Saccharomyces cerevisiae S288C: one gene and its partners. The protein of the gene in region 1 purifies or fractionates together with the protein of each later gene. This does not show direct contact. Each region holds a gene or a part of one and is shown on either strand. Other genes may lie near its edges.

Region 1 (10,081 bases):
GAAATACAATCGTATTTTTTTTTTTCTTGCAAAAATATGGCGAGAATAATTTTGAATAGGTTCTCATCTTTGTCCTTTTCATTGCAAGAATTGTTTTCGTGTTTTTTTCTCATTCTAGTATAGAACTTGAAAAAGTGAAAATTTGCAATAGCTAACATATAGGCCATAATAGGGTATTTCTACATCCACCTCTAGCTGGTTTTTGCATAGCTATACATATGGACTCTATTCAAGAATCAGATGTACTAAATGCAGTGAAAACAAAACTACCGCCGTGTTGTTTGAGAATATTCAGGAATAAGATCATCCTTGTTGGGACGTATGATTTAGATAAGTCAACTGGATACAGGTCAGGCTCACTGGATGTCTTCACAATGGACCTCAAACTTTTATGTTCGAATAATACGTATGGCGCAATCCTAGATTTGAAGTTATCCCCCTTTGATGATACATTGATATGCACGGCCCATTCGACAGGTAATATCATGCTATGGAGGATACGGTGCACAGATAAGGATGATTTCCAATCAAACGAACTAGATATTCATGCAATTGCAAATCTACAACTCTTTGAAAAAGATGTTCTCATTGCCTCGTGCCATTTTTCCCCACTTGATTGTAAGAAATTACTTGTAACAAATACGGCAGGCGAAGCAGCTACCATTGATATAAGAACACTATCTGTACAGTTCACGGCATCAGCAATCGCGCAGGCTTACTCAAAACTAGATAAAATAGATTACGAAGTTCAAGGTGCAACCGAAAAAGTCATTCATGTTGAATCGGGACAATTTTTGAAACCCCATGAACTCGAGTGTTGGACTGCGGAATTTGGATCTCTACAGCCTTTTCAAGACGTTGTATTTACAGGAGGTGATGATTCGAGAATTATGGCCCACGACTTACGTTCCAAAGAATTCATTTGGAGTAATAATCGTATTCATGATGCTGGTGTTGTTAGCATTAAGTGTAGTCAACCTAACTTTCGAAATAATAAACCCACGTCCATAATAACTGGATCCTATGATGATAACATTCGTTCTCTGGATTTAAGGATGATGGGTGAGTCCATATTTCCTGGTGCAAATGTCCCCACAGTTAATAAATTGGCGTGTGATCTTGGTGGCGGTGTTTGGAGATTTGTTGAATCCCCCATTGATCAGGAACAATCTCACCACAACGGCTCCGATCGGCTTTTAGTTTGTTGCATGTACAATGGTGCCAAGGTGGTGACCATGAATGATAATTCCGATGAGTATTTTCAAATTCAACATTATCTGAAGAAGGGCCATGATTCGATGTGTTACGGTGGCGACTGGTCAAATTCTTTGATCGCAACATGCTCATTTTATGATAATTCCTTGCAAACATGGATAGTTTAGAAAAAAAAATTCAGTCTGCAATATATGGACTAATATATAGGCTAATATATAGGCTAATATATAGGCTAATATATAGGCCATATTTTGATGATTTCGATAGATTATGCATAAAGAATTGATAGGAAGGAACTTGCCTGAACAATAATCTTTTACTCTATATTTTCTACTTATTATACATGATTCAGAAGCTTTGTTGAAAGGGGGAAAGACCGAGCGATATAAAATTGATGAAAAATTGATATTACAGCATCAATTGACATCAATCATTAAATCATCATTAGCTTCCTGTGGATCAACAAACTCCCTGCTGGCTCCTGCCAATAGTTCTCTTCTAATCTCAGGACCGATATCTTTATGGCCTCTTTGACGAACAGTTTCCAACAAGAAATCTCTCTGATCCTGGGTAATATCGTTCTTGTAACGTTGTGCAAATGTTAAGAAAGCCTTGTGCCATATCACTGGGAGTACTCTTGTAGCATCTTCCCCATTACTACCGTCATCCAAAATTCTAAACCTCATAAAGTAATACACGCAGTCGTCCACCGTCTGGTACGGTAAAGCATATTTTTTATCGAGCAATATTTTGATAAAAACAGTTGTAGGTGGAGAGAAAGGTAGCCTTAAAAGATAACTCAAGGCAGCTGAAGAATGTAAAGCCGGAACAGAGACTTTAGCAAGCACACTTCCTGCAATTGTCGCTTCACGTACATTACACCCTGTTTCAACCAATGGGAATAGGAAACCTTTGAAGAAGGCACTTGGTTTATAAAGCGATTTTTTCACCGCACGGTATATATGATAGTTTAAAGAGTGGTCTTCACTGGTCTCGATATTGTCACGGAAACGTTCAAGTAAAATTAGGTTAATAAATTTTTGAGATTCTTTAGCAGTTAGGTTGGATACAAATAATTTCGTTGCTTCGTAAACAACGTGTGGTGACCATTCTTCCGGGTTGGTCACATAAATGACATCTTGCCAATTTCTTAAGGATGGGATAACCTTGAACAACTTTGGCAACTTACCGTGCGTCCAAGTTTTTAAAATACTACCTACCGTAGTATATGCTTTGATGACCTTCTCTGGAAGTGCAACACCCTCTCCACTCTTCAAACCGGATGAAATATTGCCTCTTGAGGTATTCTGTTCATTAGCAAGTGGTTCATCATCTTGCATATCTTCAACTTGACTTTCCTTTTCTCGGATAGAGGCCATAATCTTGTCTGCAAGATTATAGCTACCACTTAAAGAGTTAAAATCATCTGATTTCTTGAAATATTGCTCAAACATCGCTGCGTCTTCTTCATCGATTTCAACTATCTCTTCCTCTTCTTTATAATCACCTTCGGGTTCAAAATCGGAGATGTCTTCTCCAAAAGCTTCTTCGTCTTCGTCTTCGTCTTCGTCTTCATCATCATAGCTCATGGTGGTGAATCTGGCTTCAAATTGCTTGTTTCTTTCTGATTCAGCAAGTTCCTCACCTTCAATTTCATCCTGTTGTTCCTTGGCCAACTGCAAAATTTTTCTTGATGCTTTGGAGTCTATGTATCCATCTTCCTCATTTGCAGCATCGTGATTTGCAGCATCGTTCTGCGCTAGCTTCTTTTTATTGATTTTTTTCAAGGTACCTTGAGCTGCATCTAAATCCTTTAAAAGTGGATCATGCCTCTGTTTTCTGGCTTTAGTAGAGGATGCTCTGGCCATTATAGTTAATCTTTCTAATATATTGTTTTATCTGTAAGTCTTAAAACGAGACAAATCTTGGATTTAAAACAACTTAGTGCATATTTCCTTTCGTCAATGTTGAAGAAGTGGGAGCTCATCGATTTTTAAAAATTTTCATTTCCGATGCCTCGCTAAAAAAAAAAAATGAAAAAGTGGAAAAATATGTTCTATTTCTTCCCCTACTGACACCACCAATAATACAACCATATAAGTTGGTACAATTTCTCCAAGCTGTACATCCTCTTGTGTTGTGAAATGTCTGATTTAACATCTATCATTATTGCGTATATAGACTGAGTCAAGATTATAAAGTATACATATCCAACCACATTACTCTTCATCCATTCTAACCTTTAATCCGTGCTCTAGTAAATACTCCTTTACATCGTTAACAGTGAATTCACCTCTGTGGAACATACCTGCACCCAAGCAAGCATCTGCGCGGGTCTTTAGGAAGGCCTCTTCGAAATGTTCGGGTACACCGGCGCCACTGGATGCAATGACGGGAATCTTGACCGCATCTTTAACATGTTCTATCAATTCCAGATCATAACCAGAATTAGAGCCATCCTTGTCTATGCAGTTCAATAAAATCTCCCCAGCACCTAGAGCTTCACATGCCCTTGTTAATTCCCACACACCAAGGTCTCTAGATTCTCTTCCACCTTTGATTGTACATTGGTACCAGCAGTATTTCTCTCCATTGGGGCCCGGATATTCTGTCTCGAAGACTTTGTTCTTCGTATCTGCTTGTGAATTTACATATACTCTCTTAGGGTCGACAGAAATAACAACTGCCTGAGCACCGTATGCTTTCGAGATTGTCTCTATTGGTGACGTTCCATCTCCTCTGTTACCCAACTCGTAGTATTTTTCGGCTGCATAGACTGCATCCGTACCGATCGATACTTTATCAGCACCAGATCTGAAGTATAGACTTGCAACTTCTAAAGCAGGTATTTTGGTTCCATCAACATCGACAATATCCTTGATCCCCCCACCGACTGTCAATGGAACAAAGACTGTCTTTGCGGCTTGTTTCAGAACCTCTAGCATCGGAGTATCCTTCAAAGGACAATCTCTAAAAGAAGTTATATTCAAAAATGTTACTTCATCCGCACCCTGTTGGTAATATTTCTGTGCCAACTGAACAGGCTTACCAAGGTTTCTAACACCTTTACCATCACTTTTTTCACGTACATCGTATTGATCACCTTTAGTAACCACCAAATCACCTTGGTCATTAGTACGTACATCAAGACAAGCAATAATTCTGCGTGTTAGACCATAATTTGAATAGTCATTCATTAAGAGTTCCTTCTCTTCCGCACTATAGTTTGGAATCGGAGGACTTTGTTGCTTCAAAAAATTCTCAATGACGTTCAAACCAGCTTTACCTGATTTTTCAGGATGGAACTGAGTAGCGAATATATTATTCTTGTTGACTGCCGCAATAAATTCCTCTGAACCGTACTTAGCTTTTGCAATTTTCCAACCGTCATTTTCTAGGTTTTTTTTCTTTTCTGAATTCAGAATGGCAGCAAAAGAATGGACGAAATAGTACCTCTTGTATGGATCCAATCCAAAGAATAGGTTTTCCGAGGGAATGCAAGAATTCCAACCTATTTCTGGTACTGGCTTTTCTGAATCATCGAACCTGGACAACTTAAAATCAATGTAGTTCAGACCCGTACTCTTAGGGCTTTCCACGGAACCGGCAAAGAGCGCTTGTAGCCCGACGCAAATTCCCATTATTGGTTTTCCAGATTCAATGTATTCTCTTATCGGCTTTTCGAATCCTCTATTAAATAAATTGTCGACGAAATGGCCATAATTTCCGACACCAGGCAAAATCAATCTTGACGTGCCTGATATGTTAAAATCCTTTGGTGATTTCACCAGTTGTACTTCGTAACCTAAATGCTCAATTGCATTGGTTAGTGACTGTAGGTTACCACTTTCAACGTCAATCACGTGAACGACCGGCATTCTCTTTTTCTTTACTTGTAAATAATTAAAAAACCTAAACTGGATACTGCTACTTCAATAGCTGCCTCTTTTCTTTTAAAACCTGATTGAGTAGTCGTCGATATCAAAGGAATATCAACTTATGTATGTTTCGATGTCTGACTCTTTTCTCATGAATTTTTCATTTTTTCATGATCACCTAATTAGCCGTGGAGAGAGAGAAAAATAATCCCAAAGCTACGATATGACTCAATTTTTTTTTGCAGAAGAGTAACTGATAGTATAACATCCACGAAATCAGTGAAAGGTCAGCGAGCTTTGCCTTTAAAAATTGAGTTTCTAGTTAATTAGTAAATAGCGCTAAACACAATTAAATAATACCGAATTGGCAGTGGTAGAGGAAAGAATGTACGTTACATATATCATTAAAAAAACATCTATTTCTTGTTAACTTCTCTTCTTTGTCTGACAGCAGCAGCCAATTTCCTCAAGACGTCTTCAGTAGTTTCCCAACCTATACAAGCATCAGTGATGGAAACACCATATTTCAAGCCGGCTTTACCTTCGGCTGGGATGCCTTGGTTACCTTCGTTGATGTTTGATTCAATCATGACACCGGTAATGGCGTTTTCACCGTTAGCGATTTGCTCACAAACAACGTCATTGACCTTTGGTTGGTTTCTGAAATCCTTATTGGAGTTACCGTGAGAGTAGTCAATCATTAGACCGTTGGAACCGGCAGGCAATTGAGCCTTAGCTTCTGCAACGGACTTAGCGTCGTAGTTGGTACCCTTTTTACCACCTCTTAGAATAACGAAGCAGTGTTCGTTACCCTTAGTAGTGGTGATAGCAGCAACACCATGCTTAGTAACACCCATGAAATGGTGAGAATGAGCAGCGGCTTGACAAGCATCCACAGCAACATTTAAGGTACCATCGGTACCGTTCTTGAAACCAACTGGGAAAGACAAACCGGAGGCCAATTCTCTGTGCAGTTGAGATTCGGTGGTTCTGGCACCAATGGCACCGAAGGAGACCAAATCAGCCAAGTATTGAGGAGAAATGGTATCAAGCATTTCAGAACCAATTGGCAAACCGATATTTGTCAAGTTGACAAACAATTGTCTAGCGGATTGCAAACCCTTGTTGATGTTGAAAGTGTTGTTAACATCAGGGTCATTAATTAGACCTTTCCAGCCGACGGTTGTTCTTGGCTTCTCCAAGTATGCTCTCATAATGATGGATAAATCACCTTTTAATTCATCTGACAATTTCTTTAATCTCAAAGCGTATTCTTGAGCGGCTTCTAGATCATGGATGGAACAAGGACCGACAATGACAAGAACTCTGTCGTCTTTACCGGTAATAATATCTATAGCTTCTCTTCTACCTCTCTTGGCAGTTTCCAAAGAAGTTGGTGTGGCTGGGATTTGCACTTGAAGGAGAGCTGGAGAAGCTAATGGGTCGTAACCTAAAATTCTGACATCTTCTTCAGCACCTTGATTTACCTTTGGCATGCCGTTGGCAGCGAACATTGGAGATTCACTCATTTCTGATAGATTCTTTTGTTTACTAAATTTAGCGGTTAAATATATAAAATAAACGAATATAAAGAGAGACTCTTCTAGTTATTCTTAATTACTCTTATAACGATGCTAAAAATGACGAAAGAGGAATTAACACGATATATAGATAATATACCAATGAAAAGAAGAAGAAAGTATGAGAAAAAGTTTCTGTATTAATATGAAATTAAACATTGATTGGATTCGATCACGATGTATTCAATGAGCTAACAATGCGTCCCGCACATCTTTTTTTCAAAATTTCAAGCAAAATTTTTTCATTTCATCGTTGAGTCATTTCGCAGTAACGTACAAAATGCACAGGGTGCAGCGGGTGGGGCCACGTTTTAAAGTGATTCTGCCATGCCTTTGCCTTTATATTAAGCAACATAACTGCCTGACAGTAATGCAACTACACAGTGTTCCGTGAGACCGTTACAGCTTATGTTTACACAGCCTCATGCCCAATGAAAGAGTGTCAATATAAGGAATGCGCTTGCATATATACGAGTACATAATTTGCTGTTGATCACGTGATTCATAATTTTTTTATTTATGTGCCGATGACAATGTTTTCCATCACTTTCAAGGCTAGCTGTATACTGGCAGTTCGTGTTCAAAAACCTGTGTGGAGTTTTACCCTAGCATTCAGTTATGTCAGAAGTGTGTTTGGCATCTATGTTAGGCCAATTGTTATTGTTTTATGCGAATTATGTGGGTTGTGCAGCTGGGGTCAAAAAGAGCGAATGTAATTATATTGTAAACATTAAATCTGCACAATGGAATCTTGTTTAGCCTTTGTTTTTTTCTTTTTCTTTCTATTTCTTTTGTTTTCGATTTTGTTTTTGTGTCACAAAATAACTAATGGCGACATCGCAGTTTTTTGGGCGGCTGCATACTGTTTAATAAAAAGAAGTTACTGCTACCTCAAGATTTCTTCCTAAGCACTCAAGCCCATGTTTGCCAGTATTGTTATCTTGCAACAAAATCAGACAAATAGAATTTCCCTTTTTTGTTTGACTAATGTTGTTTTCGTCTTCATCTTCTTCACTTAATTCCGAGGTTTCACAAGTGTTCTCGGAAAATATATCTAGTAGATCCACTACTCTGACTGAAAGTTCCACACAAAGCGAGATAAGGCAGCATTTTGGTAATGAAGATTTCAGTGGTGAACTACCAAAAAAATTAATTCAACTCAAGAAATTAAAAAATGGTGGCACTACAATCAAGAAGGCTAAGGAAGACCTTGAGTATTGCTATGATTCACTACGGCTGTACGAAAATCCCTATGTAACATCATCTGTAGATAAAAAATGTGGTTACAGCATTGAATTGTATCTAGATAACAAGTACAAAACACTAATGTTCTCCGATTTACAATTGAATGCTGACTATCCGTTGTATTACGATTCCTCACTGGATAATATATCTACAAATGTTGAAAGAGAAAGAGCCACTCCTCTACAAATCAAAGGAAAGATTAGGATAAACATTGATAGAGAAGACCAGGCCCTCTTAATCACTTCCCATTCAATTTCTTTAAAATGTTTCACAAAGGAATATGCATGCTTTGTAAATTCAGAAACTAGCAAAAACTCCTATAGTGACAAAATTATCAAAGAACTTAATCACACAGAGTTTTTTGAGTCTTCCACCTACCCCAAACAGCAGTTGAGAGTCATACACCACTCATTAAATGATAAGAAAATTCTATTGACAAAGGGCACGTACGATTACCCATTCACTTTTACCCTTCAAGCAAATACTTTCCCAGCAAGTTTCTCTTCCTTCTTTGGCAAGACCCATTTTCGAATAGAAAGCTTAACAACAATAATGAGAATACCAAGTAAACCTAAAAACTTACTCAAATTTTTGAAGAATGAAAGTTTTACAGATAAGATCATTTTAACAGAAGAAATTAAAGTTAAAAGAGTCCTGCCTTCAACGAGTATGCTTAAGTTTGAAACATTTCAATTAAGGTCATACAATACTGCAAGTGAGATCGTAGTATCGGTCATTGGAAACTCCAAGTTGATTGAAATTGGTATGCCTTTCCAAATGATATTATCAATTACCAAAACAGATTCTTCCATTGAATTACAGGAAGCTTCTTTGGCAGTTGCACAGAGAATGGCAATACCAAGTATTGATTTGAAGACCAAGAAAATACTACGAGAGCCATACATTAAAAAGTCCGAGTATTTACTAAGAACTGTAGAAAGCCAAAGTTTCGATTCCGACAAGACCATTTTCGGATTTTGCTTTGATGACGTTGTCATCCCAACCTATGCGGATGGTCTACCGAGCTGGTTTAAAACATTCTACTGTGAACCAAGTTCATTTTATCCCAATCATGCTGCCCTCAAAGTAACTCATTTGCTTTTGTTCAGAATAACCTATAGCAGGAATGAATTGGTGGAAGGGCTTGAAATGAAAAAAAATTATCGTATTACGGTGAATTTTCCAATTTTAGTTGGCGATAGTGATATTTCGACCAGCTCTTTGTTACCCAAATATGAAAAATTTGAAAATATTAGTGATCTACAAGATGAACCCCCACTATATTCTATGGTAGCAGGTGAGAATAGCTTATGAATGTTCGGTACCTCAGAACAACGCCTCTATTTTATCCTTTTTTTTTTTATTTGCATGATATACATATACTATTTTTTATTAGTTTCTTATTCTACTATGTATTTACGTAACAATAAATTTACAGGTCTCTCTTTTTGTAAGTATCTTGCACGCTGATATCTATAATACTACTTCACAAGTTGATCAGCTTCCGAGATAGACATTTTATGTATCAAGTCGCCATGTCCGTTCTCTACTGGCCGGTGTATATTATGATATTTCGACCGGTTCTAATACATAAGCACCGCCCACTCTGAGGAGAAGACATTTTTACAAGAATTACTAGCCATATTTTCCCTTGTCAAATTAGAGAAGGAAAAATTACTTGAAACATCCCGTGTTTGGGCACTAAAAGTATATCAATAGGAGCTGAAGAACACTACACTAGACTCTCTTGGCGTGAAGGCCTTATTATGTGAACTTTCGTAGGTTTGACTTTTACTACCAGTATGAAAAAGGTTAGAGTTTATTCAATCAAATGGAAAAGTTTTACAACTGAGCTAGTGATCTCCAAATGAGGTAGCAAGTAACAGTCGTATGTATCCCATACATTTATGTATCCCATATATTTCATTACATGGTGATGCTTTCTTTTATTCGCGGAGTAAAGTTCCTTAAAGTGAAAAAAAAAAAAAGACGAATTGACAAGACAATAATACAAGCACCACTAAAAGACCTATCGTTATTGTTGTCAAAGTAGACGGTAAACCATACAAGAAACAGATTTCATAGATCAATAGGTAAAGATGTTCAAGAGGCAATTATCGACTAGTGTTCGTTATCTACAGCATTATGATGAGTCGCTATTAT
Region 2 (10,121 bases), on another chromosome or scaffold:
GAAGATCTAGGGAAAGATCTAGACAAAGTGAAAATCTTAACAATTGGATGATAAATGTTGGCTATTTATATGTAAAAAATAAATGGAATTTGGAACTATGAGTCTGCAACCGCTGTAACCTCCTTCCCCCTAGAATATAATTGTTCTCGAACTCATTTGGAAACGCTGAAAGTAATTTAATTACTTCTAGACTTTGCGATGCCCTCTCCCACGACAACAACAGAATATACGAGGTATCCGTCCATATATCCACCACTGATGCGCAAGCTTAATTGGTTGTGTGTGCGAAAAGTCTATATAATGACGTATCACAGTTCTATGTACTGCATCAGAAAATGGCGAGCTGAAAGATAAAAAGAACAGTTTACGTAAAGTTACCTGTTTGTTGAGCTCATTCTACAGTTATTTTTAGGTCCGTGCCAAGGAGAGAGTAAATATACGGTGGGGTATCGCGGGGTAAGGAGAGTAAGGCACAAAGGCAAAAATCAAGATAGGCACATAAGAAGGCACGAAACTACCCCACGTTTCGATTTTTGCCATATCCCTTATTTCTCAAACGCCCTGCAGAAAAATAAGTTTTAGGCACCCATGGGTGCAGAAAATAAAGTTCTCGGGGTCACTTCCTAGTAGGGTGGCAAACAAAGTATGCTGAAGTTGGCAAGCAACACGTTGGTTCAGCATACATCGGCCTTTCTCGGAATAAAATAATCAAAAAATCTTTTCCGGGAAGTCATTGTTTTATTGAGCATTGTAACGCTTTCTTTTTTTTTCAACATCTAAAGCTCATTAATATCCAACTTATCTCCGCTCTCGTATTTCCCTTCTCCTGCCACATAATGCCAATATTTTACCTTGCTAATTCTCACCACTGTCATTATGAGTAGAATTTTGGCTTTTTGGAGATGAAATTTTTCATGATATCCACATTGAATACGTTGGTCCTAGTGAGCTCTTCCTAATTGTAGTCGCTTTAAAGTGTGGGCCAGAACGCTTCTTGAACTTGATTGAATTTAAGCTCAACTAAGGTTTAGTTTCGACTCTTACAAGAAATAAACGTTAAAAGTGGGAGACTGAGTAAGGCATTAGCGCAAAGAATACAGAAGGTAGTTTGCGCACATTTGAAATGGCAACTTATGTAATTATTCTTGGAGAATAACATGTGATCTGAAAACTCATTCCTCTTCACTATTTAATAACATACTTGAATAAGTAATTGCGAAGTGTTATTAACTACTACTATAATCTCCGTGTCTCCCTGGATGTTGATCACAAATGAAGAAAAAACTGGACGAGATTTGAGTTTTAATGAGTCCAGATCACTTTAGTACGTGTTTAAAATTGTTGGATTAAGGTTATACCAATACTCATGTCACTACTCCAATTGGATTATGTATAATTATCTAATGTAGTAAAGAAAAAATGGACGAACACTTTTTGAAGTACGCAATCAGGAGATTCCTGGTCGCAGATCTATAGAAAACGAGACCTTTTTCCACAAAAAATGGTCTCTTAGGTTTCTTCACCGAAAATCGTTCAAGAACAACGGCTTAAGATAAATATTTTATGGTATATTAATTTTGATCAATAATAAATTGATAAATACATATATGTAAATCTATAATACTGTAAAGAAAAAGGGTTTGCTCTTTGAAAGTTAAAAATTAACAAAGTTCAAATGTACTTGTATGGGTTTAAGATTCCATTTGGATCGTAGTGATTTTTGATATCCTTCATAAATCTAATTTCAATATCACTTCTGGTGTAGTGTAACTTACCTTTCTTATGGAAACCGATCCCATGCTCAGCACTGATGGAACCTTTCTTTGATGCAATATATTCATAAACAAATGGTTCTAGTAAGTCCTCAATCTGTTTTGTAAATTCTCTTACCGCGATATTTAAATGGATGTTTCCGTCACCGACATGACCATAACCACATGATTTAACAACTGGTTTTGGTGCATCACCAATCAAACCGGCTGCGTTTAATCTCTCCGTCACAGCCGCAGATACGGAATATAAATCTTTCAATTGAAGTGACATGTCATACTTGTACATACCACCGTAAGAATTACAAGCTGTTGGAACAGATTTTCTCCAGGTCCAAAGTCTATCAAAATCGGCTTTGTCCTTAGCCATCATACCCTCCGAAATTAATTTAGAATCTGTGGTATCTTTGAGGAAAGCAGTCAGCTTCTCATCGTCGTGTCTCTTATTGGACCCTGACGTTTCAATAAGAACATAAAAGTTGTGTTGGTTCTCCAGAGGGAAAGGCAAGTCCTTCAAGTATTCTATCGTACATTCAATGGAGCCACGGTCCATGAATTCAAAAGCAGATAAAATCTCAGATAATTCACTTTTAGCCTTGACAAATAATTTCTGAACGGTATCGAAATTCTCAATACCAAAAAATACGGCATTCAAGGCTTTTGGCTTTGCTGCTGCAACTATGGATACACCAGTAACGACACCGATAGTACCCTCTGCACCGATGAATAATTGTTTCAAGTCATAACCAGTATTGTCCTTCCTTAGGGCATTGATATTGCTGATAATCTCACCGTTGGGTAGCACCACTTCCAAACCCAAAACATTACCGTGTAGAGACCCATATCTTAAAAAGTTCAAACCACCTGCATTTGTTGAAACTACACCGCCCACTTGACAGTTGTTTCTAGAAGGCAGATCCAATGGGAAGATATGGTCATGGTCGTGTAAAAATTGATGCGCATCACGCATAACGACACCCGCGTCACACTTGAAAGTCCCGCTAACTGGATCAAAATCTCTGACTTTGTTCATATTTCTTAGAGAAAGAACAATCTCATCAAATACCGGAACAGAGGCTCCGACCAAGTCGGTGTTACCACCTTGTGGTACTACTGCCAACTTTTTATCGTTACAGTATTTCATAATCTTGGACACTTTATCAGTGGAGTTTGGCAAGAGAATTAAATTGGACTGGCCTCTATATTTTTTCATCCAGTCCTGGTTAAACGAAGCAAGCTCTTCTGGAGCTTGAGAGTTTAAGATTTCATCATTTGACAAAATCGAACGAAAGTACGCCAAATCTTCCGAGTCGAGAACTTTGAAATTTGGGTTTCTCTTGACTTTAGGGTATGCCTCGGCAGTTAACTGAGCAACAGGATGTGCGGCCGTCATAATTCTTATATATGCTGTCTTTAAGCCTTGAATCTCAAATGAATAAAATATTGAGGAGCATTTTGGCACCCTGTTCTGCCTCGTCAGTTATATAAGCGAGTGATCACTTATATACTCACAACCTTTCAGTTTCCGCGCGTGACTTAGATTTGGCGGTCACCAACTGTGGCAAGTGGTGTCATCCGCTGGAAATATTTTCCGAACTAAGTCGTCGAAATGGTCATTCTTTTAGATGACTGTGGACAATATCCCGCTTAATGATCACGCACAAAAAAAAAAAAATGAAAAAACATAAAATGCGCCACTCCTGTTGACATTGCAGACAATTTGTTGTGCTTTCTTGACAATTATGTTCCTATAGGAAGCATCTTAGAAATTTAAACAAATGCCAAGTCGGGACGAACGATACTGTAATTATCAAGATGCTCGAGACATTTTGGGTAGATTCTTGCGAAAGGGAAGTAACGTTGGAAGCTGATTAATCTGACCAGGTCAAGCTACTAAAATGCGTCTTTCCTGTTTATGAGTAACTTTCATGCCTATAGAAATATAGTAGTCGCCAACAATCATTTCGATACAACTTGTTCTGTAGAAGCCTTCTATTCATTCAGTAGAATTTGGATCGCAGAGTTCTTACCAAACGTTTCCTTTCATACAGATCTTTGCGAGAAAATTCTTGTTTCTATCACATTAATCTTCTAACCACTTTCATTCGTCAAAACCTGCACTGTACGTATTGTAGAGGCGTTAGCAAGACCAGCGTACTGCACGCCAGGTTAAAATGAACCTATAGTCTTGTTTGACAACAGCGGTTGGCCATTTATATTGTGGCTTTATTCGTATAACTATGATAATGGTTGAACCAACTAGGTTCAACTCTACTATTATGTGTCGATCAGCGGCTCCTTCTATGTATCTTATTCACAATTTTTGAGCCCACATGCTTTCGAATGAGACTTCTATAACAAGTTTTTTAGGTACTTTACATAGCACTTTAAAGAGAAATCAATAGTGGATATAAGGAAAAGTCGTTACGTTCTGTGCTGACAGAAAAATAGTATTTTTAATTACTGAACTGATAGATTCGATTCAACACTTATGATGCTAAAAAGGTCATGAACGAAGTTTGATAGCATTCTATTACTGATTTTCAAATGCTCATTTTGCCGCGAATATTATAGGCCAATAGATTTAAGGTTAAAAAAAAATCATATCAATGGCATTTTAAGGCAACTATATTTTCAGCATTATATTTTACTTTTCCTTTATTTTTTATAAAGTGTCCAGATGGCACCTATTATACAAGCGCAAAATGACATTTGAAAATGTGTGTTAAAATCGCAATTGATCAACTTTAAGGATGATAGAATAAATTGCGTAATTCGTGAACTATAGAAAAGCTTTTTTATTTTGATTTTAGTGAAGGTAAGAAAACATCGATGCTTTATTTCTCTAAGCGCTCTCCAAACTAAGGGGGTTGTAGGAGAATAATAACGTATAGATGAATCACGCTTGATTTGATGGACAATCCCAAAACCATTTGAGATAACTGTAAAGGTTTATATCATAAAACTTTTATAGATGCTACTGCTATAAGTAGTGCAATTTGAATGTTTTTTTTTTTTTTTTTGATGTTACTATGCCGCCAATTATATAATAAATGCAGGAAAATCAACTATATAAATATTGCTAACATGACTTTTATTCGAAAAAAATAAATAAATATAGTGTTTATATTTAGGATTCCTATTCTGTATCCATCTGGAACCTTCAACATTGTAAATAGTGAATATTTATACGCACTTTTTTTTTGGTAGTAAGCACGGTTAGTTATAATTGCAGGAAAACAAGGAACCCACTTCTTTTTACTGTTTATATCAATATGTTGCTCAGCAGAACCTACAGTTTATTCAAATAGAGTGTGTACGGGACTATACCACTACAATCTATGATTTCCCAACTCTTTAATCATTTTGATCACATGAAAGTCTTTGGTAAAGTCAACTTTATCGTCAAATACCTTTACTTGGTGCTGTTCTTTGAGAACTTTGAACCTTTGCACCTCTACAAAGCCAAGCTTCTTTTCATAGTAACCCAATAGGTCATGCTCCATGATAATATCTGCAACCACTCTTTTACACTTATGAGACCGCATCATATGAATTACACTGTAATTGAATAGTTTTATACCATAACCATTACCCATGGATGTAAAACCTGTGATCTCATAACTCTCCTTATTATTTGGTTTGTAGCCGATGGTTGCTAGGGTATGTTCTGAATCGAATGCCTCTGTCAAAAACTGGACCTTCGGAATATAATATGTCGGTAGAGATAAATCTTTGTTTGTTTCACCTTTAAGCTGTTCAAAATGTTCATGGAAATTAGGGTATGCTAAGGTAGGATCATTTAATAATAAGTAAAGCGAGGATTTCTCTATATTCTTGTCAAAGCCCAGATCACTGAATAAAGTCTCAAGGCTGTGCACTCGAGGGCTAACTATGATGCCATATTTGAGTCTTGGGACATCATATCCTCGATTAATTGTTGTATACAAGCTATACTTAGTATCTTTAGATGAATTCTTCAAAATCTCGACTGGGAGTATAACGATGTTGCAAGGGCAAGCTGACATTAGTTTTGTTGTGCAAAGGGCATGATAGACTCTCGATATCTTCAAATAAGTCTTTCTCAATAATTTATGTAGAACCTTACGTTTTCAATCACGACCAAGAGTAAGGTGTATTATATCCATACTGTTTTGTGCATATATTCTTTTTTTGATTTCTTATCTGAAGGAAAAACAAGATCTTCAAAAGTAAAGTTATTGATCCCATATTGGTAACCAGATAAAAGAAAAAGGCAATATCACGTGCTTTTACAAATATTATTTCCAATTGGATTTCTGAGAGGTATGGGTGTCATTTCCTTAACGTTATTATAAACTAGCCAGAATGAATGTACAAGCGGGAGAGTAGCGTCGTGTGATACTATAAAACTCTGAGTGAGGGTACCGTCAAGATTCAACCATAGTGTGCAAGAAGTGTTCATCTTCACCACAGGGGTCATTTGAGCATACAATCCTCCAATGTCGGTAACAGACGCAGTTGCGGTTAAAGTCGTAGATGATTGCCCTATGCGCTAACAAGATATTCTTCAATAGGAGCATCTAAATTATTCTCTCTGAAAAACGAACAATAATCAACACTGGAATTGTAACCATTTTTACCCGGATGGGCGATCATTTCATTATTAACTAAAGTAGCTTTTCCAATACGCCTTGACTTTGTGGGGCAAAGATATTATGCTTTTATCATGCGAGAGATCTTAGGTGCCGCAAAAAAAGATTTTGCTGGCGTGCGCATATAAGACTGTTTTTCGTCCCTGCATTGAGATCGCATCTGTCCCTGAGTAAACGATGCACAGAATATTCAGGCTGTGATTCTACTAACTGAACATTGAGTTAGCACTTATATATTATAGGCGTAAACTATCTCACCAAACTTGCTACAATCTTCTAGAATTGATATTGTATTCAACTTTTTTAATGTATCCAACTGAATGTACTTGATAACCTTCGTTGCATTGACGGCTAGATTCTTTAACCTAGCTGCCGCCTCGGCCAATAATAGTTCCTTCCCTGATATTGACCTTACTAGTTTTTTGAGACACTTCACCAATATTCCAGCAGGACTTTAGTCAGGACCGCTCCAGCCCATATATCGCGCGCCTCCGGCAGAGAGTTAATTAGTGTGTACGATCTTAGTTCCAATGGTGAAAATAGCCCTCAAAACCTTTGCTTTCTCTCACCTAGCTTCGGAGGTCAGTATATTATATGTAAAAAATGCTAAATATACCTGCACTTGAATATGGTAAAAGTGGCGTTACGGATAATGCATTACTCAAGGGAAGTATACAATGCTAACCCCAAATATCAGACTTCATAACAGATTCAACTTTTCAGGAACCAAGAATGATAATTGACGTACTTTGCCTATTATTAAATTTTAATAGTGTCTAAATTTCACTAAAAGATTCATAAATGATCAATTGCAGTTTCCTCCGTAAGAACAAACGGATAACAGACTATGGTGAATAAGGAGCACAAGAGTTTTAAAGGTAGTGCCTCACACGCGCTGAATGTAAGCAAGGTCAATATAGCTGCTGACCTGAAAATGAGATAGCAAATGTAACATTGAATTTATCAACTAAGAGACAGTATAACATAAGTGAAATCAAGATACCCGGCCTCAAATCAAATAAAAGTACAATCCCCTCTTGATTAAAGAACAAGTATAATATTGCTTGATAGTGTATGGTTTAAAATTTTCTATCTTTCTACCGAACACCTTCTGGACCATTGTTGTTCCTTATTAAGAATTCTCAAGTTACAGTATTAAAAAGGCAATATATATTTAGTTCTAAAATGCGCTACTAAGTGCTGGGTAGTCTGATTATGGGATCACTTTATTCATATAGTATACAATATTCAGAGAGGCATTGACTTAGCTACCAAAAAAGTATTGAATCGTTTAATGGCTATGAGAATACTTTTAGAAATGGCATTTTCCTGTTCTGGTGCATGATGCTGGAATAATGATGCTAAGTTTCTTCTAAATGACTGTGACTAGGCGATTACCAAATAATATAATACAATTCCTTCCCTGCTCGTGAAGAGAGAAATTCTATGCCACACTAAATGCATCGCGATAGACATCCAAGATGAAGTCAACCTAGGACTTGGCCCCCCAAATTACGGAAATCGAATCAAATGCAGGCTCTATCTTTTATTACAACTGAAGAATATGGTTTTTGAGGATGTATAATGAATTCGAAATAGTATGATATGAGTCTGAATGAGTATTATCAGTAAATGATGAAGATGTATTTTACTGAATGCTTCTTGGCAGTTCCGGTTAACAAAAAAAACTTAGTATGCAAAGTTCGTTGCTATAAAAGCTTAAATCAAGATCCAATTTGACAGGATTCTAGTACGTGAATACACACAGAATTTGCAGTTTTGTTTTCGGACAACTGAGTAAGTTGTTTCGATAAGACATGCTTACAATATACAGTTTAAATAACAGGGAAGGACATTAGACCTGCAAACTGATAAATTGGACGAGTGGTGTTTTTTTCAACATTCACCAAGTGGAAAAAATAATATAACCAGATATGAGATGCTAGGGACATGCGCATCTCATAGCTGAGGCAGACAAATCTACTTTTTAAAATGTTGTTGGTTAAAATGACCTCTTGGGATTTGAGATGCCCAAAGCCAATAAATCTATGATCTCACATCTTCAATATTAATGATTGGGTAGTAATTCAACAAAAAGTGAAGTCGCAACCACAAATAGTTGGTTTTATATAGTTTAATTAAAAAATGCGAGCACTGTGTTGCTGATAGATGGCCTTGTTTACCTTATAATTGAAAAAGAGCAATAATTGTGAACAGGTTTGAGTGAAAAAAGTCTAGTCCCATTTCTGGAAGCATTTAAGGAGATAAATCAAACCATTTAATTAAATGACTTCGTAAATCTAATGGCAATTGCTGTAATTACGGGTACAATCCAAGAGGCCTGCAGTGACTGCTATTTTTACATTGGCCGTCGTCATTTACGTGCAGAGTGCAAGAACAACGCAGCTGCTTTAACAGAGGTTACAGTGTGATAAGAAGCTTTAAGCAGCTTGCTACCCCATACTTGCCGATAGATTCTTTGTACATAGCTAACGCATTCTGTGATACTATTCAATTCAAATCAAACACTTTGACAGAACTTCGGGTTAAACTGTCTCTTTCAAGATATTTCCATCTTTATATAACCATTTCTTTCCACTATTAGCGAATACTTTCTGATTTTATGGAGTGACTGTTAATCTTCCTAAAGTTTCGTATCATGATTTAGCGTCGTAAAAAGTAGGGATACTTTTCCAAAGCCTTTGTTCATAAATAAATTAGTTCGTATTATAAGCGATGGGTTTCCAAGAATGTGTAAATACACTGGATTTCCGTTGAACAACCTCAAAAAGGTAAATGTATGGCAAGATTATATTTGGTACTGGTATATAAAATAAAAAATATCAACTGGAAGAACAAATAATTTGAAAGGACTTCAAAAGCTCATCTCTAGTACTGTTCATTGCGAATTTTAAATTTTCATTCAAAATTAGCTGTATATATCTCTTCATTTTAGGGATGTCTCAAATATTCAGGGGAGCCCAAATCTGCAACAGTTTTGACTGAGCCAACCGGTTTTCCTTTCTGTAAGCTTATACGCGTTCACTGGGGTAATCACATGTGATATCTAAGAGATAACCTAAATTTCAAGACAATAGGTTAAGGTCCACACCGTCATCAAATTGGGTGGAAAATGAACTTAAACTATACGATGCCTCTTTAGAACAAGGTTACAAATCCTGATAAATGCAATTCAAATGGCCCTTGTTATGATGTACCTGTTTATTCTTGGTCGCATTTTTTAATCACGCACCCCGAAGCTGCTTTCACAATACAGTGCGCAGTACTTGTGAAAACCATACCCTCGGGTCAAACACTACACATACTCAACGCCTATCACCATCACCTCTTAAAGGAACAGGTCTGACAATATACTACGGCCCCATATTCTGACAGCCAGGAAGAATCTCACAAATCGGTCAAATTTTACAGCAAATTTTTGAAAAACTTCAACTTCCAGTGTTAGATCATTCTAAATCATCATTGAAAAGTTGAACTGCAAATTGCAAATGAATATCAGACGAAAATGAATAACGCCGTTAACCTTATTGTATTTACAAAATATTGAGTTACTATTATATAGCGCTTTACTAAGAGGATATATTAGTCTGGTGAAGAGCATGTAGCTACAACCTTCATTGATATCGTTTTGTAAACGTACTGTGTTTTCAAAAACTTTCTCTTTATAAGAGTAGGCATTGCCAGTCGACCTCATATC
Region 3 (10,738 bases), on another chromosome or scaffold:
TGAAGTATCAATCATAGATTGCATTGCAATCATAAATGATTTAGATGAATCAGCAGAGTATTCAGTTGACATCTTGAGCCGGCTATTGATGGTACGGATCTACTTCTCACAATTCCAATGGTGTTAGAAGATATTATGAACATGTTTAATTTCAATATGTTCAATACATATTCCATTCTCGGTCATTACCCGAAACGTATGCCAGAACAGTGACTGTTAAAATAAAGTAGTGGAAAAAAGCATAATATATATACAAGGTGTGGTTTTAAATCTATTTCTTTTCAAGAAAAGTGCACATTCATGTATATGAACTAACTACATTTAAGAATTATATAAACATTATGGACTCCTGCTTATTCAGATAAAAATTTTATTATTTCATCGACAGTTCCTGTTTTATCCCATGCTGATTTACTTTTCCATATTATTTTTGCAACGGACGAATGAACATCTTCTAATTGAGAAACCGTAAAATTCTGACAGTGTTCGATTAAGCATGCAGATACTTTTTTTATTTGTTCGGGCGTCAAAATAAGCTCCTTGTCGCTCTTCTTCCCTTGCTCCGGTTCCACAACCTCTTTTGGTATCGGACTTCGTTCCCTTTTTTCTACCGTTTCGTGGAGGGAATTTGGTTTGTTAACCGATTGAATTTCCTTTACGTGATTTATATTATTAGTATTAGCGTCTATTTTGCTGAAGTTTTCTTCCGTAACCTGCGTTTGCAAAGAGTCTTCATTCTCTTTTGGTTCTTTTCTGGCCCTTTCATCATCATCGGTGGTTATCTCTGACGTGCAAGTGGCCTGTATCAGTTCCGTTGTGTATTCTTCATTTGCACCGCTATCCTCAGGGATGACCGCTTTTTCTTTATCTACTGCAGAGGGAATTGCCGCAGGAATCTCCTTTTTATACAGGTTGGTATCAATTGGTTGAGGGACCTCGCTGTTATTAACGATAGAGGCTGTATTGATAGTTGTTTGCAGCTGAGCTTGCAATTGATTACCAGCAGCTACACCAAACTCATTAGCCTTGTTATCCTTTAAATCAGGTTCTTGCAGTATATTTTCTTGACTCTGTTCTTTGGCTTCTAATTCCATTGCAGCTCTTTTCTCTTCATCTTCTAAGAAAAGTTCCTGCCTTTCCAAATCCCTTTGGCGAGTAGCTTTACACTCTTGAATAAAATCCGGGGTTGAAATTTCTTCGATACCCATTTGCGCGTTGGCAAACATCTCAGAGGCCTTAATGACACGTTCTCTGTCCCCAATGGTATTTGCATCCCTGTATATCAGTTCAATGTCTTTTAAAAACTGTTTTGGTTCTGAGTAATAGCCATTCCAAAGTCTCTCTTCGACAATATCCAAATCCATGTTAAAAAACTTTCGCCCTGTTGAAACCTCCAGAATCATGTTCTCATCTTTTATATATGCAGGTTGCCAATTGGGATCATTGCTTGTCTCTGGTTCGAAAAGATGAACCAAGAAGGCATCATCAATAGGTGGTTTTCTAAACCTTTTATATCTGTTTTTAAAAAGATCCATCAAGCCTGAGAGTTTGATTTTTAACACATTTTTCAATCTCATATCTTGGTGTTGAAAAGATTTCAACTTCCTTCTTAATACCACTTTTTCAGACAGTGGCTCACCATTTTCATCAAAATTTGTTGGAGCTGCGTTTGAAGTTACTTTTTGTAATTCAGGTAACGGTTTGACTCTTCTCTTTTTCATGGGAATATCACTTGGCTTTGTTTTCAGTAGTTCAATTAAATTAGAAAAATACCTCGTTATATTCTCTTTGGATGGTTTATGCAGTTGAAAGATATTTTTATCAAAAGCAAAATCAGATAAAATACCATTTTTAACTTCAGATATATCAAGATTTTCAGCTAAGCATAATAGAAGAATTTTTTCATTGCTTTGTAAAGATCTGAACAAACCTGATAAGACTAAAATAACGTTTTCTGGAATAGTGTTGATCCAAATGTCTAAATTAGGAATAAATACAACTGAGGGCTGTCTTTTCTTTGCTTCCATAAAACTTTGCACTACAGCAGCTTCAATAGTCCTAGAACTTTCCGAAACCAAAGAGGCAAGGTCCAGGTTTTGGACGTTGAATTCTTCTAAATAATTTAAAATTGCGGCTCCGACATATTGTTGACCATTTCCCTTGGGCCCATTTATTAATAACCGAGGTTTACAAATTTGTGATTCCGCCATCGATTCGAAAAACTCATATGATCTAAAACTGGATGTATCTTCATTTCCTCCATATTTGTCATGCTCTTCTTCCTCTCCACTGTATTCTTCATAATCGATGAAATTTTGTAGCAATGATGTGTTTCTCTGAAAAGTTGTGTCTTTAATGTTCAGCATATAATCCAGCTTGTTCTTTAAATTATTAAGTTGATCTGCCAGTAATGGTTTGATTAATTCAGGTAGTGGCTGAGGAGAACTACCAGTAGATCTCGCAGATGACGGAACAATTTTTTTCAAAGCTAACATGAAATCGCTAACTTTGACTTTAATCTTAGAAGGGTCCACCAAGAGTTTATCATTTGACCTATAAATTTGAGGAAAGCTTCTTTGTATACTTATTAGTGCAGCCTCAGTGCATAGGGACCTCAGATCAGCACCACCATATCCTTTGGTCAAAAAAGCCAATTTATCAATGAAGTTGGTTGACAACGGTGAACTCCATTTCCTGGTCTGAATTTGCAAAATTTTAAAACGTGCTTTAACATCAGGTAATGGAAAATAAAATTCTCTATCAAATCTTCCCGGCCTTCTTAATGCGGGATCCACTGCATCGGGTCGATTTGTGGCTCCGATGACAATGACTTGGCCTCTATTGTCCATACCATCCATCAGCGCTAATAATGTGGAAACAATACTAGCATGGATCTGTTCTTGTTTGGAACTTCTCACAGGCGCTAATCCGTCGATTTCATCAAAAAAAATGATGGAAGGTTGATGTTTTTTAGCTTCTTCGAATAACAAACGGAGTTGTCTTTCAGCTTCACCAACCCACTTGGATAAAATATCTGCACCTTTACGCATAAAAAATGTGATCTTCCTTTCATCAGAAGAACAACTTGCTGCTAACGCTCTTGCCATAAGTGTTTTACCCGTACCAGGAGGACCATGGAAAAGAACACCCCTTGGGGGCGTGATATTAAAATTTTGATACAATTCTGGGTATAATAGTGGTAAGGCCACCATTTCCTTTAATTGGTCAATGTAGTTGTCTAAACCACCTATATCGTCAAAATTTACATTCATGTCTACGCCTAATGGATCGAGGTCTGCAATTTCTGGTTTTTTCTTCTTCTTTTTTTGCGTGTTCTCTTTCTTTGTTTTCGGTGTCACGCCAAGAGGTAATATCTCATCATCGGAAGAGTCTGAATCCAGTATTAATTTATTGTTGTTATTATCACTGAATGCAGATGGGACTTGGTTGTAAAAATTAGTATTCTTACCAAATATTGTAGTTACGTCATTGCCACCAAAAGGTCCACCAGTGGGAAAAAGCCTTCTTGTGGGACCAGAATTTTGACTAGCATTCCAACCACCGCGACCACGCCGTGCAGGTGATGGGTTATGAAAAGAAAGTGCATTGTTATTCTTATCTATAAATTCTTCTGCGTTGCTAGCAGTTAGTGGTGGTGGTAATTTGTAATTTACCGGCTTAGTTCTTTCGCGAAGAAATCTTTTTTCCCTGATAGGACTATCTTCCTGTAACTCTCTAATTTCATCAGCTAAAGTTAACGCTTCATTCCTGCTATTATCATTCTCATCGTCATTTTCTTCATTTGAAGTACGCGAATGTCTTGTCCTACTTCTTAAAGCTCTTCTTACCGGTGGTGGAGTTTCTGGGTGACGTGACGATCTTGTTCTTCGAGAATTTGCCCTTTTCAAACGTTTAGAAGAAGCCGAATGGCTTATTCTGTCTCCTTCTTCGTCATCCTCATCGTATTCTTCATCGTCATCAGGGTCTGGTACTACAAATTTCCTATCGGCCGCTCTGCGCCGACGGTTGTTATCCTTCGAGTCTTCATCCAAATACTCATCTTCAAATTCGTCTGCTTCTTCCTCCTCTTCATCATCGTCGACATCTTCCTCATGAAAACTTTCGTCATCTTCTTCTGGATCATGCGCTTTTCTTTTTCTCAAGTTCCTTTCATTAGTAAGCTCTTCGTTCGTTCTGGCGTTTTCGTGCGGTGATACAAGATCAACATCATCGTCTTCATCATCGCCTTTCTGGTTGTTGTTATGATGTTCATCACTAGTAACATCAACGGGCGTCTCATCTTTGTCCATGACCTGGTCATCTTCCAAAAAATCAAACACTTTCTCAATTTCTGCGTAGTTTATTTTTCTCAAAGAGCGAGTTGTTGTATGGATTATGCCATTTTCGTCTTTAATCTGTGTTTCATACCCAACCTTTGCGTTGCTTGCATCTTCAACGTCGCTACCGCGTCTATTCCTTAAATTTCGTGCCATGTTCTTTCTGCACCAATTGTGAATAAATAGCGAGAAGAGAGAAATAGACCGTGGTAACTTCTTTTTATGACTGTCGAAAACAACAATGGGTTAGTAAGGAGTACGCAAGATCCTTCAGACGTTTTGCTTTATTTAAGACCCTACGCAGTTCCTTTTCTGCTCCTTTTCGTCCCAATATTGCTCTTTCGCTACCACTTTGTCCTTTTTCGCACACATGGCCGTACAAAATAACAGACGGTACGTTTTTAGTGATAATAAACAAGTTTATAGAGGCAGAAAAAAATTCCTCAGCGGCTAATGCCTCAACAAGTTCAGCTGCAAACGATGAAAAGACGCACACAAAAGCGAATAGAAATAACCGATCACCACAGTTCCTCTTTAAAACATCTCAAACTCAGCATTAACTTTCAAATCAATCCAGTGAAAGTATGCTTGGTTTGACACTTCACTGCCATTTCCTCCTGCCTGCCTATCTGATGCTTTGCCACCACAAGAGTGTTTTCCCTATGGCTTAATCGCTTTTTTCCATTTATTTTTCTCTTTCCCCCTTTTAATAGAGGGAAGAGAGCAGAACATACAAACATATCATTTTCTACGGTATAGCCTCCGCCTCCATCTTTAATAGTGACACTTCCATCAAGGGAATAAAGAGGCTTCAAGTCAAGAACTAAGCAGTCCCAAAAAATACCCATAAAACGAGTATAAACCATACTGTTATGTCTAAAGACACGCATGATGATGAACTGCCGAGCTACGAGGACGTAATCAAGGAAGAGGAGAGATTGCAATCTCAACCGCCACGACCACCAAGACCAGCAGCTAACTTGGCGCAAGGGCACCAATCAAGACCCCACCAAAGGCCCTCGACAATGCCAGCAACGTCCTCATCCCAAACATATGCTCACTCACACTCTTATACGCCTACAAGTTCCCAACCACGGCCTCCACCGAGGCCACAACAGAATCCTAGCTTGCCCTGGACATACCCTCCCAGGTTTTACTGTTCCAAGTGTGGAAATACGGGTTACAAGTTGAAGAATGGACGATCTTGCAAGTCGTGTTGGAGGAGGTTTGCACCTCAAAATAACGTTGTTTCTGCACCGACATATTACACAAACTATACAATGCCCGTGTACACCAACGCATGGCAGGGTAATAGGCCCTTGTACGTTCAACCAGGGGATCCTCGCCTGGGTGGCGTGCTATGTGGTGAATGCAGAGGGTCCGGACGCACCAGATTCCTGTTGGACGAAGATATATGTCCTCTTTGTCATGGTGTAGGCAGAATTATCACCCAGCCTCAACGCTATTAGCGCATGAAAATTTAGGATTTGGATGACCCGGTACGGCCTTAGTAGAAAAGCTGTGTCGCTCACCGAAAAGAAAAAAGACCGAACAACTGTAGGATGAAAAGCATATTTTAATGCTCCTAATTTTCAAACATGTCTATTACATACTTATCACATAATCCGACTGATTTGCCCTTCTTTAACTTCTTTCATTTATTTTTACGGTGCCAACCGTCTGATCGATATAGCATCCGTTCATAAAATATTATACGACTCCATCCTCAATCGTGATTGTGCGTGCGTGACTCATTTTTTGTTAGAACCAATACTTTCAATCATCCCAAAATGCATAACATCCAATTAGTGCAAGAGATAGAAAGACATGAAACCCCGTTAAACATTAGACCTACCTCTCCATACACTTTAAACCCTCCTGTCGAGAGAGATGGGTTTTCTTGGCCAAGTGTGGGTACAAGACAACGTGCAGAGGAAACTGAAGAGGAGGAAAAGGAACGAATTCAACGCATTTCAGGCGCTATCAAGACAATTTTGACCGAACTGGGTGAAGATGTCAACAGAGAAGGTCTACTAGATACTCCACAAAGATACGCTAAAGCCATGCTTTATTTCACTAAAGGTTACCAAACGAACATTATGGACGATGTCATTAAGAATGCTGTCTTTGAAGAAGATCATGATGAAATGGTTATTGTTCGTGATATTGAAATTTACTCGTTATGTGAACATCATTTGGTGCCATTTTTCGGCAAGGTTCATATCGGGTATATACCAAATAAAAAAGTCATCGGGTTAAGTAAGTTGGCCAGATTGGCAGAAATGTATGCGAGAAGGCTCCAAGTTCAAGAAAGACTTACAAAGCAAATTGCAATGGCCCTAAGTGATATTCTAAAACCATTAGGTGTAGCCGTTGTTATGGAAGCTTCTCATATGTGCATGGTTTCAAGAGGCATTCAAAAAACGGGATCTTCTACGGTAACTTCTTGTATGCTTGGAGGGTTTAGGGCTCATAAAACAAGAGAAGAGTTTTTAACTCTTTTAGGAAGAAGAAGTATTTGAAAAAAAAAAATAAAAGCGACGATATATCGTGTATGTATTAACTAAATTAATAGAGATATACAGGATTAATATCGTTTGAGAAATCTCCATAGAGAAAGGCCACGCGCGACTGAGCTTTTTTTTTTTTCAACAATCAGTATATACATTTACTTCCGGTACAGCATCGCACTTGACAGTCCGTTAGTAATGAATAGAAAAGTTTGAACTGCTAAATAAAAATCTGTAATTATCACAAAACTAAACTATGTGATATTCAGATGTTTGATACCCTTGTGAGACAACCGTTCGCAGGTAACTGTTAACTCTGGAATGGGTAAACAGTAGCTCACAGTTTGTGAGTTTGTTTGATTTGCATCTCTTTCAACATGAATGGTGGTAAACAAGCCACCAGAAGTTACTGGATAAGAGTTAATTTGGTCATCGTTTTCCAATTTCTGTAGCTTTTGCTGTTCTGTGATGATACCAGGAATGACTATATCACCAACCTTTACGCCTAATTCTTTACTCAATTGGGGATTATTCAACAGGTTTTCTATAGGTATAATATCTGACCAGTTTCTCTTGTTCATGAAACATGATTCTTTACGTTTATGTACTCCATCCACTTCCTTGGCAAAAATTGGTACGGCATCTTCATCCGTTTCCAAATCGAAATGATGCAAGCGACATCTTTTTTGCAATAGCGTGGCCATTGCATCTGGCGGTGGGGTATTTACTATGGCGCTAGCAATGATATTAAAAATCAGCCTTACGTCTTTCGTTGGTTCTTCAATAATTCTGGTGTTTTCCTTTTCCTTCTCCTCAGACATGATGAGATGGTGTCTATGAATTTTTGCCCTAAATCTCCCAACAGATGCCAAATGTACATCGCCTGATAATATGGTTATTCTGACGCCATATTTAGCACCTATGTCTTGCAATTTCATTATCAAGTAGTTTCTTTCTTTTTTATGATGTCTCGCGCACCAATGATCATTTAAATCATCCAACAGTTCTACATCTCCATTAAATTCGTTAACGAAGCCACTAGCAAATATCCCTTTTTTAGATAAATATTTAATTGGAGCCAGTAGTTTTGAGGTAAAAAGCCATTCTAACCATACTAACCTTGGATATGCAATCGGGATACCGAGCATCAGCAATAAGTGGCCACCTTTTAAATTTTTTATTTCCCTTTCGACACGTTCCCAAATTAAGGAATAACTTCTTTCTGAGAAAATCTCGTGTAATTTCCTCTCAGTTCTACAGTCCAACCCTAACATGGCCATTTTCGGACCCAACCAAGAGAATATTGAGTGAGACCTTTCACCGATATAAGAACTCCCTTTTTCATTACCTAGAATCCATTGTTTGCTCTTGAGATAAGCATACTCATCGCCATCTTGTTTAGAAGCACTGACATGCTGCTGGAAAAGCATATAGTATCGGTAAGCCATTCTTCCCACTGTGAGGAAATTTTCAGTCTTCATGAAGGAATCGTTGTACGATCCATAGCCATCAATAATATCGTGGTCATCCCAGACATTAATGGCAGGAATACAAGCTAGTGACTTGACAAAGCATTTTTGGGTGGTCTTGGATTTTGGGGTAGAACCATACCAGTGACCGTAACCGTACCAGTTTAAATAGTGTTCTAAATAAAACTGCCTAATCTGCTCTTTTGTTTCTTCAGTGGTCTGAGTATTATACTTCTTAATTGGGTCCTTTGTCTCCAGCCAAGCTTTAAGATTTGGCGCATGCAGTTTAATATTATCGGAGTAAATTTGATCTCCGCCGCCGAGAATGGCATGATAATGAACGTATCGATGCTTTTTAAGGACATCATACCATAGAGAACCTTTGAATTTCGATGTATCTACGCTCAGTGAAAATCCGTTGCATGAATAGGAGATAACGTTCGAATTTTGAGTGAAAGAGGGAACGAAGAACCTATAATGTGGTTCCATAGTACCGTCAACAGCATATTTTACCATCTGCTCATAGTTGGACATGGGCAACTTAATCTCATACCTGTAAAACCATATATTATCATCTTTTAAAATGTCCTTATGAAAAAGTTTACCTTCGAAGAATGCCTCGTTAACTTCGATGTCTTCATCCTCAGAGGGCAAAGAGGGCCCTAGCTGATAGGTAATTTTCGGAAAGTTTTCCTCGCCTCTAACTACCACCATAATAGACCCCTCGTAGGTTTTTTCCTTAAAATCCATGTTGATGAGTCTTAATATCGGTCCACATATAATACCAGACTTTGGAATTGGCGAAGTTTCGGAACAGTCATCGCAGCCAGTGACATCGTCTCTATAAAGAGCTTCTGGGTTCCAATCGTCGAACCAGTTTGTAGCATGCATTTTTGTAGCAGTGTTTATTTTCAATTGAGTACTTTGAACCCGGTAGCAACTGTTTTGACCTTCTGTAGGACTTTCCCCTCACTAACTTTGTGGAATTTCTTTTCATTTTTACTAATGGACCCTTCGCTATGTAGCCGTGCCGATAAAAATATATTCCTGGTATTACCCGACGCTGCTATTTCAACTTTTTTCAATAAAAGGACGAAAAAATAACATGTTTAATCTTGAGACCTTCTGGGTTAAGTTTATTGATAGAGATTAAGTACTAGTTTAAAACGTCTCAGGCATAAAACATGAATTATGCTAACTTTTTAGCTACAGCGGACATAGTTGTACAAACTGAGGAAAGGCTTCTTTAACCAGGGATTTTGAAGTAGGAATTGTTGAAGTCAAAAATGGGAACCTATGGAGGGGAATTCAAAAGGCATGAAGTCAAAAGATTAACATAATATAATTCAACTTTGAAAAATATTCTAGTCAAAGCTTTCCCGAGAACGCGTAGCGTGATGATAATGGTGTATCCTATCGATCTGTCGACTTGCTATGATTATCTTTGTTAGCCGCCGAAACGATCATTTATGCATTGCCCGAGTATAGTCACTTCTTCTCAATATCACGAGGCACGAATGATTTCGGAGGCAGAAAAAATTTCTGTACGCAACTTATCGAAAGAGAAAACGAAAAAAAAAAAAAGACGATGACAAATTTTCTTCGATGTCTAATGTTAATGATGATTTGCTTCCTGATATGCATCTTTGTGGAGGAATAAAACTTGAAAAAAAAGCGGAAATTTACAACAAGCATGTCTTTCCTCATTTCCTTTGATAAATCGAAGAAACATCCTGCCCATTTGCAGTTAGCGAACAATTTGAAGATTGCCCTAGCACTTGAATATGCAAGCAAAAATTTAAAGCCTGAAGTTGACAATGATAATGCTGCCATGGAATTGCGCAATACAAAGGAACCTTTCCTTTTGTTTGATGCTAACGCTATTCTAAGATATGTCATGGATGATTTTGAAGGTCAAACTTCCGACAAGTATCAATTTGCATTGGCATCTTTACAAAACCTGTTATATCATAAAGAATTACCTCAACAACATGTCGAGGTTTTGACAAATAAGGCCATTGAAAATTACTTGGTCGAATTAAAAGAACCATTGACTACTACAGATTTGATCCTGTTTGCTAACGTTTATGCTCTAAATTCTTCTTTAGTTCATTCTAAATTCCCAGAATTGCCATCCAAAGTGCATAACGCTGTAGCATTGGCTAAAAAGCATGTTCCACGTGATTCTTCTTCTTTCAAAAACATCGGCGCAGTGAAAATCCAAGCTGACTTAACAGTTAAGCCAAAGGATTCAGAAATTTTGCCTAAGCCAAACGAAAGAAACATCTTGATCACTTCGGCATTACCTTATGTCAACAACGTTCCACACTTGGGTAATATCATCGGTAGTGTTCTTTCAGCAGACATTTTTGCTCGTTACTGTAAGGGACGTAATTATAATGCCTTGTTTATTTGTGGTACT

Evidence for each region.
Region 2: the proteins of ARO4 (region 1) and DLD3 purify together in Saccharomyces cerevisiae (affinity purification with mass spectrometry, with the first as the bait; one large-scale study listed by BioGRID). This does not show direct contact.
Region 3: the proteins of ARO4 (region 1) and YGR266W purify together in Saccharomyces cerevisiae (affinity purification with mass spectrometry, with the first as the bait; one large-scale study listed by BioGRID). This does not show direct contact.

Annotation. Positions count from the first base shown.
Region 1 is NC_001134.8:711,373-721,453, forward strand, and holds ARO4 (3-deoxy-7-phosphoheptulonate synthase ARO4), read right to left. Parts: upstream 6,623-10,081; coding exon 5,510-6,622; downstream 1-5,509. Other genes in the region: chromatin-remodeling ATPase ISW1, read right to left, coding at 1-167; RRT2 (diphthamide synthase), read left to right, coding at 219-1,382; snoRNA-binding rRNA-processing protein ENP1, read right to left, coding at 1,632-3,083; HIS7 (imidazoleglycerol-phosphate synthase), read right to left, coding at 3,435-5,093; SPO23 (Spo23p), read left to right, coding at 7,661-9,232; mitochondrial 37S ribosomal protein uS5m MRPS5, read left to right, coding at 10,018-10,081. UniProt on the Saccharomyces cerevisiae protein: Stereospecific condensation of phosphoenolpyruvate (PEP) and D-erythrose-4-phosphate (E4P) giving rise to 3-deoxy-D-arabino-heptulosonate-7-phosphate (DAHP).
Region 2 is NC_001137.3:9,396-19,516, reverse strand, and holds DLD3 (D-lactate dehydrogenase), read right to left. Parts: upstream 3,163-10,121; coding exon 1,672-3,162; downstream 1-1,671. Other genes in the region: RMD6 (Rmd6p), read right to left, coding at 5,102-5,797. UniProt on the Saccharomyces cerevisiae protein: Catalyzes the reversible oxidation of (R)-2-hydroxyglutarate to 2-oxoglutarate coupled to reduction of pyruvate to (R)-lactate. Can also use oxaloacetate as electron acceptor instead of pyruvate producing (R)-malate.
Region 3 is NC_001139.9:1,021,125-1,031,862, reverse strand, and holds YGR266W (uncharacterized protein), read right to left. Parts: upstream 9,208-10,738; coding exon 7,102-9,207; downstream 1-7,101. Other genes in the region: SLH1 (RNA helicase), read right to left, coding at 1-72; chromatin segregase YTA7, read right to left, coding at 354-4,493; HUA1 (Hua1p), read left to right, coding at 5,210-5,806; FOL2 (GTP cyclohydrolase I), read left to right, coding at 6,128-6,859; methionine--tRNA ligase MES1, read left to right, coding at 10,010-10,738.